Canis lupus familiaris: one gene and its partner. The protein of the gene in region 1 interacts with the protein of each later gene in a pairwise test. Links are inferred from orthologs where the notes say so. Each region holds a gene or a part of one and is shown on either strand. Other genes may lie near its edges.

Evidence for each region.
Region 2: the proteins of METTL21A (region 1) and ZBED8 interact in binary tests that used the Homo sapiens proteins (3 or more experiments, as listed by UniProt). The two-hybrid records come from large-scale screens. The link is inferred for Canis lupus familiaris from reciprocal best matches to the Homo sapiens genes METTL21A and FAM200C.

The regions. Positions count from the first base shown.
Region 1 is NC_049258.1:15,864,103-15,868,532, reverse strand, and holds the start of METTL21A (protein N-lysine methyltransferase METTL21A), read left to right. Parts: upstream 1-1,498; 5' UTR 1,499-1,783; intron 1,784-2,646; exon of another isoform or gene 2,647-2,734; intron 2,735-2,885; exon of another isoform or gene 2,886-2,955; intron 2,956-3,305; 5' UTR 3,306-3,349; coding exon 3,350-3,496; intron 3,497-4,430. UniProt on the Homo sapiens protein: Protein-lysine methyltransferase that selectively trimethylates residues in heat shock protein 70 (HSP70) family members. Contributes to the in vivo trimethylation of Lys residues in HSPA1 and HSPA8.
Region 2 is NC_049225.1:51,217,128-51,221,702, forward strand, and holds the start of ZBED8 (protein ZBED8), read left to right. Parts: upstream 1-1,765; 5' UTR 1,766-2,176; intron 2,177-3,060; 5' UTR 3,061-4,575.

The DNA of each region.
Region 1 (4,430 bases):
GGAACCTTTCTCTATTTTTTTTAGAGAGAGAGCATGAACACATAAACAAGAGAGGGGGGAAAGGTGGAGAGGGAGAGAGAATCTTAAACAGGCTCCACACCCACCATGGAGCATGACACGGGGCCCGGTCCCACGTCCCTGAGATCAGGACTTGAGCTGAAACCAAGAGCTGGATGCTTAACTGGCTGAGCCACCGAGATGCCCCTATGTGGGATCTATTTTTTAAAATAGCCAAATTCATAGAAACAGGTTAGAATGGTGGTTGCCAGGGGCAGGGGGTAGGGGAATGAGGAGATGCTGGTTAGAGGGTACCAACTTACAGTTATAAGATGAGTAAGTTCTAGGAATCTAATATTCAGCATGGTGATTATAGTTAATAATACTGTAGCCTATACTTAATAGTTGTTAAGAGAGTGGATTTTAAATGTTCTCACTACACACGTGCACAAAGTAATAATTATGTGAGATGATGGATGTGTTAACTAACCTTATTATAATAATGGTTTTGCAGTATATACACGTATCAGATCATCACACTTTATACCTTAAACTTAAATATGTCAATTATATCTCAATAAAGCTGGAAAATAAAATAGGACCAAAAAAGTAGGCCAAAGACTCCACAGGCACTTCATTAAAGAAGATCCACAGATGGCAAACAAGCATATGAAGATGTTCCACATCACATGTCACTAGGGAATTGCAAATTAAAACAACTAGTACACACCTACCAGAGTGGCTAAAATTCAAAACACAACATCGAATACTGACAAGGACATGGAGCAACGGAAACTCTCATTCATTACTAGTGGGAACACAAAATGGTACAGCCACTTTGGAAGAGAGTCTAGTAGTTTCTTATAAAACTCAACATACTTTCACCATAAAATTCAGTAATCACACTCTTTGGTATGGACCAGAGGAACTGCGTAAAAAGATTAGCGGTTGCCAGGGGTTATGGTAGAGGGAGGGAGATCCACAGGTGGAGCGCAGGGGATGTTTAGGGAAATGACACTTCTCTATATGACGCTATGATGGTGGATATTTGCCATTACAGATTTGTCCAAACTCATAAATAAAATGCTCAAGACCAAGGATGAGCCCCCCAAATAACCTATGGTCTCTGGGTGATAATGCTGTGTTCAAAGAAGGTTCATCAATTGTAACAAATGTGCCACTCTGGTGGGGGGGGTGCTGATAATGGGGGGGGGGAGGCTAAGCCTGTGCTGGTGCAGGGAGTGTATGGGAAATCTCTGTCTCTTCTCAACAATTTTGCTCTGAACTTAAAACTGCACTAAAAAATAAATCCTATTACATACAATCTTAAAAATTAAAATAAACAAGCTGAGCAAAGACAAAAAGTTAGCCAAAGGCCTTCTTCACTGCTGATCCCTTCCAAGTCTCCTCTGCGGCCCGGCCTTCCGCTGGAAGGTTAAAGAAAAGTGGGGAGAGGCTCGCAGGCCCCCTGCAGGAGGGGGGAGGCCAGAGAGCGGCGGTTTAGGTTTGGCCTGAGGCTCCTGCAGCAGGTCGCACGGGAGGCACCGGGAAGGGCCCACGCTCGGTCGCCCGGCAGCAGTAGAGACGTCCCCGCGGCAGAGCCCAGGCGGGGCAGGTGGCGGGCGCCGCGGTCCTGCTCAGGCGCGGGGACGCGGAAAACCCCCGGGACGAGCGGCGGCAGGTGGGGCGGGGGGGGGGGGGGGGTGGCGCACAGCGGGAAGAAAGGGAGGACGGAGGCAGCTTGGGTCGGTGACTGTCGCGTCCGGCACCGAGGTCCCTGGGGCAGGTGCGCCCACCGCCGGCCCTGGGAGGAGGGGGACCAGGGAGGAGGGAGCCCGGGGAGGAGGGGGACCGGGACCCGGGGAGGAGGGGGACCGAGGAGGAGGAGGGGGAGCGGGACCCGGGGAGGAGGGGACGCGGGACCCTGGGAGGAGGGGGACCGGGGAGGAGGAGGGGGACCGGGACCTGGGGAGGAGGGGGAGAGCGGGGCCCGGGGAGGAGGGGGCCCGGGGAGGAGGAGGGGGAGCGGGACCCGGGGAGGAGGGGACGCGGGACCCTGGGAGGAGGGGGCCCGGGGAGGAGGAGGGGGACCGGGACCCGGGGAGGAGGGGGAGAGCGGGGCCCGGGGAGGAGGGGGACCGGGGTCCCGGGAGGAGGGGACGCGGGTCCGGGGAGGATGAGGAGGCGCGGGTCCGGGGAGGAGGGGCGCGGGGCCAGTCGCGCGCGGACTCCGAGTTCGCGCTCTGGACGACAGGGGCTTTGTCACTTCTCCTCTGTTGCCACCAAGCGGCGACGCCAGCGCCTCGGACGCGGAGGGCCGAGGACCCAGCACGGGGCAAGGCGAGGACGGAGGGGCGGCCGCGCACTCCTCGGAGCCCACTCGGTCCGCGGGCGACGGGCGACCCTCCGCGCTCGGGCCGGGCGGACGCTCCCCGTCGGCAAAGCCCGAGAGAAGCGCGCGGAGCCGCGGGGCCCCGGCCGGGGAGAGCCCGAGCCGCGCGCGCCCCCAGCCGGCCGAGGCCTCCCTGCCTCCCGCCCTCCCGCCCTCCCCGCCCTCGGAGACCGGCCCGGCCTCGGGGCTCGCACACCTCGGGCCGCGGAGGGAGGGAGGGAGGCGGGCCGGACCCCTCGGGCGCGCGCCCAGCTCACCTGCAGGCGGGGCCGGAAGCGTGTCTGCGGCCCGGAGGCGCTCGGGGCGGGCGGAGCGAGGCGCGCGGCGCGGGGCGGCTCCGGAGCGGTGAGTGGAGGCCGGGGGCCCAGCTCGGGCTCGGCCGCTGTGCCCGCAGGGCCTGGGGGGCGGCCTGGGCGCGGCCGGGGACCCCCCCGTTCCCGGAGCTCTGGGGCCCGCGCGAGGGGGTCGCGGACGGGCGGGCTCGGGGCTCGGGGCTCGGGGCTCGCACTTCCAGCCGGGGCGACCCGGGGCTGCGCGCAAACCGTTAACACCCGGTCCAAGTGCAGGTTCGGGCTCGTGGCCGTCGCTGTGGGGGACTTCAGAGCCGGCGGGGGGCGACCCAAGCTGCGGCCCGCGGCTAGAGCTCCCGCGCGTGCCCGCGTCCCCGCCCTGGGCCGCCGCTCCGGGCCCCCTGCAGCCGCGGTGCGCCCGCGGGGTCGTGGGCCCAGAGCCGACTCCGTGGCCGGGCTGCGGAACCGGGCGCCCCTCCCAGAAGGGGAAGGGCCTCGCGAGGGACTTAGCAAGCCCCCCCACCCCCACCTCTGTTGTCTTCTTTTGAACTTGTGAAAAATGGCCTTAAAAAGCATTTGGAGCTACTTAAGAGAGAATGCTTTTTTTATTTTCTCCCCCTGGCCAGAGCCTCAAGAGCTTTGAGGGTGCAGAGAGCTGAGTGCCTGCGAAATGGCCCTGGTGCCCTATGAGGACACCCCGGGAGTGGGGTTGCAGAAATTCCACAAGCCTCTTGCCACCTTCTCCTTTGCGAACCACACGATCCAGATCCGGCAGGACTGGAGGCAGCTGGGAGTCGCAGCAGTGGTTTGGGACGCGGTAAGTACAGCCACTGGGCCTCTGAAGACAACCACAATTCATTGTAAGAATGGTCTTTATTATAATTTTATTATTTTTATTTATTTTTATTTTTTTATGATTTTATTTATTTATTCATGAGAGACAGAGAGAGAGTGGCAGAGACACAGGCAGAGGGAGAAGCAGGCTCCACACAGGGACTCGATCCCGGGACTCCAGGATCACACCCTGGGCTGGAGGCAGCGCTAAACCACTGAACCATCCGGGCTGCCTTTTATTTTATTTATTTTATTATTTTTATTTTATTTTATTTTATTTATTTATTTTATTTTATTTTATTTTATTTTTTAATTTAATTTAATTTATTTTATATTTTATTTATTTTATTTTATTTATTTTTATTTTATATTTTATTTTATTTTATATTTTATTATTTTATTTTATTATTTTATTATTTTATTTTATTTTATTTATTTTATTTTGTTTTATTTTATTTTATTTTATTTTATTTTATTTTATTTTATTTTATTTTATGGTTTAATTTTTTTTATTTATTCATGAGAGGGGCAGAGACACAGGCAGAGGGAGAAGCGGGCTCCATGCAGGGAGCCCAACGTGGGACTCGATTCCAGGACTCCAGGATCAGGCCCTGGCCTGAAGGCGGTACTAAACCGCTGAGCCACCCGGGCTGCCCAATTATTATTATTTTTAATAACAGGTTTATTGAGATATAATTCATATACCAAACAGCAAGAAATTAAAGGTGCCAGATGGAGCAGGACGCTATGCTGTGTGGGCAGTGTCCGTGACTCCTGCGGTCCCCAGGAGGGACCTGGTGGGGCGAGGCTGCGGTGTCTGTGCCCCCTCTAGGGGGTCACCCACCAGCAGCTGCTGAGTTTCTGCACATCACTAAACTGGGCCTGGAACCATGCAGGGTGAGGGGGGCGTGTGATGT
Region 2 (4,575 bases), on another chromosome or scaffold:
TCCCTCTTCTGTGAAGCCTAGTTTACTGATTTTAGGAAGAATATCTGAATTCCTGTCTTATTTCTACTTCATTTTGGGAAAAAAAAAAAAGTAACACCTGGAACATTCTTATGTGAACTTTGATTTTTTTTTTTTTTTTTTTTTTTTTTTTTAAGATTTTGTTTATTTGACAGAGCACAAGCAGGGGTAATGGCAGAGGGAGAGGGAGAAGCTGACTCCCTGAGCAGGAAGCCTGACTCGGGGCTGGATTCCCAGGATCCTGAGATCATGACCTAAGTCAAAGACAGATGCTTAATGGACTGAGCCATGCAGGTGCCCCTGAACGTTCGATTTTATTATCTCAATAATAGCTGCCTTTTGAGTGCTAAAGCCATGTAATTTTTATATGTTACTTCTGCAAAAGAACTTCCTGGAGTAATGGATAGTACCCCTATTTTACAATAAGCACATGGACTTAAATCCATGTAGCTTGCTCAAGTCCCGACAGTTAAAAGTGTTAGGGGCACCTGGGTGGCTCAGTGGTTGAGTGTCTCCCTTTGGCTCAGGTCATGATTCTGGGATCCTGGAATGGAGTTCCTATCAGGCTCCTGCTAGGAGACTGCTTCTCCCTCTGCATATGTCTCTGTTTCTGTCTCTTATGAATAAATAAAATCTTAAAAAAAAAAGTGCAGGACATAAAGCCAAGTATCTTTGACTTGTCAAGTCAAATGTCAAGTAAAGCCTACTCCTTTCTCTAGTATTTTAAGACCCCACTTTCTGGGCCAGGAAGACTGGTCTCTTGCAATTTCTTCTGTTGACAGAAACCTTAAGCCTGCCTCAGTCTACAAGGTTCACCCTCAACACCTGAAAATGATGCATCTGTCCCACATTCTTTAATAATACCCCTTTCCCCAACCTTGTGGGATGCTTCTAACAAGACTAACTATACAAAAATGAATAAATTGTTCTTTCATTAAGTTTGTAACAATTCTGAGAGGAAATACCCCCCAAATAGGAAGGACGTCTGTTTGAGTTTCTTTTAGCAATGTTATCTAGTTTCTACTTGGGAATTTTTTCCGTCTAAAATCTAATAATGAGTTTATAAGTTTAAGATCAAGTTAAAACGAATTTTATGTTATTTTTAAAGATTTTATTTATTCATGAGAGACACAGAGACATAGGCAGAGGGAAAAGCAGGCTCCCTGCAGGAGCCTGATGCAGGACTCGATCCCAGGACTCTGGGATCATGACCTGAGCCAATGACAGATGCTCAGCCACTGAGCCACCCAGGTGTCCCTGTTAAAATGAACTTTAAATAAAACTGACGGTCTTTTCTCTCGAATTATGGTTCTGAGGAAATTCATCTACATGCTCTAATTTATGGAAAGGGGTGACCTGCATGGACAAGAAGACACAAGCTCTAGAAGTTCATCTCCACTGCGAGTATCTCCGTGGAGCTTACAGCCTGTCGCGCTTGCCGCAATGTTTAATTGGGGAGTACAATGAGCTTCCTAACTCTTTACTCCTTGATCACACATAGAAAACGCTAATTATTGGGTGTTACAAAATCGACTTCAGTGCTCTGAAGAACGACGTGGACTCTCCATTCCTTAGATTCTACGACTCATCCTCTCTGGCAGACACACAAAAGAATCCCCGCTCCACGTATACAAAAAAAAAAAAAAAAAAAAAAGGGAGCGGACCACCGCGCATGCGCATGCTCCTCACTCCAGCCGGCGGAGCCCTCCACCGGCGGCTAATGCGCCTGCGCGCGGGGAGACTCCTCGGCCGGGCGGCGGGCGGGAAGCCACGCGGAGGACCCGGATGGAACCCCGGGGCGGCCGGCTGGAGGCCGCTGCGGACTCTTCCGTCTCCCCGCGCCCCGCAGGTTCCTGCTGGGGGCCCGGAGCCGAGCAGCCGGCGCCCGGCGGCTGTACCCCAGCCTGAGCGGAGAGCGACCTGCAGCCGGAGAGCGGCGCCCGAAGGAGGCCTGAGCATCCCTTGGGCCTGCGCCCGGGCCCGGAGACGGGCGGGTGCGGAGCGAGCGGAGTCTTCTTTCCTCGCCGCCGGCGCCCGCAGCTCGCGCCGCTGCCCTAACGCGCCGTCCTTAATAATACACCAACAGTGCCTACCAGTTACGAGCTGCATGGTCTGCACATGCATGCTTAATAATTAAAGCTCCCAACAACCCTGTAAGGTAGGTACTATTGTCATCCCACTCGAGGAATCGAGGCTCGGAAGGGACCGGCCTCCGGGTGACAAAGCCAGGCTGCCCGGCGTCTGCCGCCCGAGCCTTTGCTCGGCTGCTGTATCCCCGGCCCTTTCCTTCTGGCTGTCGCCTCTGCCAAGTGTCCTCGCGAAATCCCGACCCCGGACACCGCGCCCCCTCGGACCGGAGGAGGCAGTGCCGAGACAGAAGAGGAATTGTGTTTGGCTCGGAGTCGTAGGTTTACAGCTGCACTGGGCTGTTGTCACTGCAGAGATACAGGTTTTAGCCTTTCCCAGAGATTTCTGTTCTGTGAATGCTCACTTCTAACGGGTTTCTCTCACAGTCGTGATACTTTTTCATAGCTACCCTTATACCCCGTAAACTTGCAAAAAAAAAAACAAAAACATTTTACTGGTTTGTATCACATCTTTCACTCTGCATCTTAAGATATCTCAAACTCTCAAAAGAATCATTCTGAAAACGAATCATGTCTAAAGATAATGCGTTTTGCTGACTACGATAACTTTACTGTTTATTACGGAAAATTCCCCTACATAACATAAAATATAGTGAGAATGATGCAATGTTGTGTGCCCATCATTCAGCTTCAGCAATTACCAACTCAAGGCCCATCTAAGGTCTTCTGTCTCCACCCCACTGGTGTGTGTGTGTGTGTGTGTGTGTGTGTGTGTGTGCACGCGCGCTGACGACAGTCTTTCAAAGGAAATCCCAGACGTGTTTTCATTCTCACCTTGTAAGCAGCAAAGTCTGTATCTCTAATAAATGAGTACCCTTTTTCACACAAGCATACCATTAATCACACCTGTTTAAATTAAGTTTTTTCTCTTTTTCCTCCCCATTTTTTTAAGCAGGCTCCACCCTGGGTGTGGAGCCCAACGTGGGGCTCAAACTCAGGACCCTGAGATCAAGACCTGAGCTGAGATCAAGAGTCGGATGCTTAACCAACTGAACCACCCAGGCGCCCCAGTTAACAATAATATGTTGATGCTTTTTTAGTGTTTCCATATTTTAGGATATTGTGATTACTAAATAACACAGAGGAGCAAATGAAAATTGTAAAGTTCTAAAACACAGTAAATTCCTCTTTGAGAATCTTGAAAATTCTTGCTACCTATTCTCCTTTTTTGAGGAGGATGAGGACTACTACTACAAATGACTTTTTCTAAAAATCTTTTGTCAAAACAGGTAAATTTTCAATCAAAACATACCTGAGTGGCATAGTCAGGGTGGGTTGGAATGGACCCTTAACTAGTCTATTACTATAATAATTTCTAATGAGACTGAGCAAAGCTTTTTCATTCACTTCTACTCCTCCCCAAAACATACATAGTAAATATACATAAGAGAGTATAGAAAAATAAGCATTTTTATGCTGATGTTATAATTTTATTATCAGTTAGGAGAGATCCTAAACATAGTTGACCCTATCATCATCACTTGACAAAAGAAAGCTTAGGATCAACTTTTAAACTTCAAATCATCTTCCAAATTTTAACTGACTCATAACAAGTAGCCATGTGGCTTGCCAACTTATTAGTTTACATAGAAGTTCATTTTATAGCTAGTTAATTGGGCAGAACTACTAAAAAGTTAGCGTTTTAATTAATATTCTTGCCTTACTTATTGTGAGGTATTTTTTTATGGCCAAAGTGGGCATTTGGATTTAAATGTGTCCCTGTTTTATTTCCACCACATTCTGTAGAATAGAACTTTGGAAACTTAGGGGATCATTTGTTTATCTGGGAGATAGAACTATCTTCTAAGGTATATTTGAGCCTACCTGTGGGTTATACCTTTGCTCATTGCTAAGGAGAAAGAAAAAAAGCATGGCATTCTTCCTTAGGTCCCTGAACTTTCTTAGGAGGTTGTTATCAACTCAGAAACTTAAATGCCTATTAAAGCATTTAGACTATTTACTTAGCAACCTAGCCTATCCATAATCTAGTGGATGGCCTGAAGGATATGTTTTCATTTCTCTAAATCTAACTACTCACGAGGATATGTATTAGAATCACCTGGACAAGATTTAGAGTCTTTTTTTTTTTTTTTTACGGTAATCTATGTGCCCAACATAGGGCTTAAACTCATGACCCAAGATCAAGAGTCCCCTACTGTACTGACTAAGCCGGCCAGGTGCCCCAAGATTTAAGAGTCTTTTGTTCTCCTATGGAGAACATGATTTATTAGTTCTAAGGAAGGGAGATGTATAATTTCAGAGGAGTTCCCAGTGATTGTGATGAGCATCTCTTATTAAAGATTACTATCTTAGTTACCATGCATAAGAATTATCTAAAATGCTTATGTAGAGTACAGATTCTGAGCCCCTACTGTAGAGCTAGGGAATCAGAATCTCTGGAAGTGGGGAC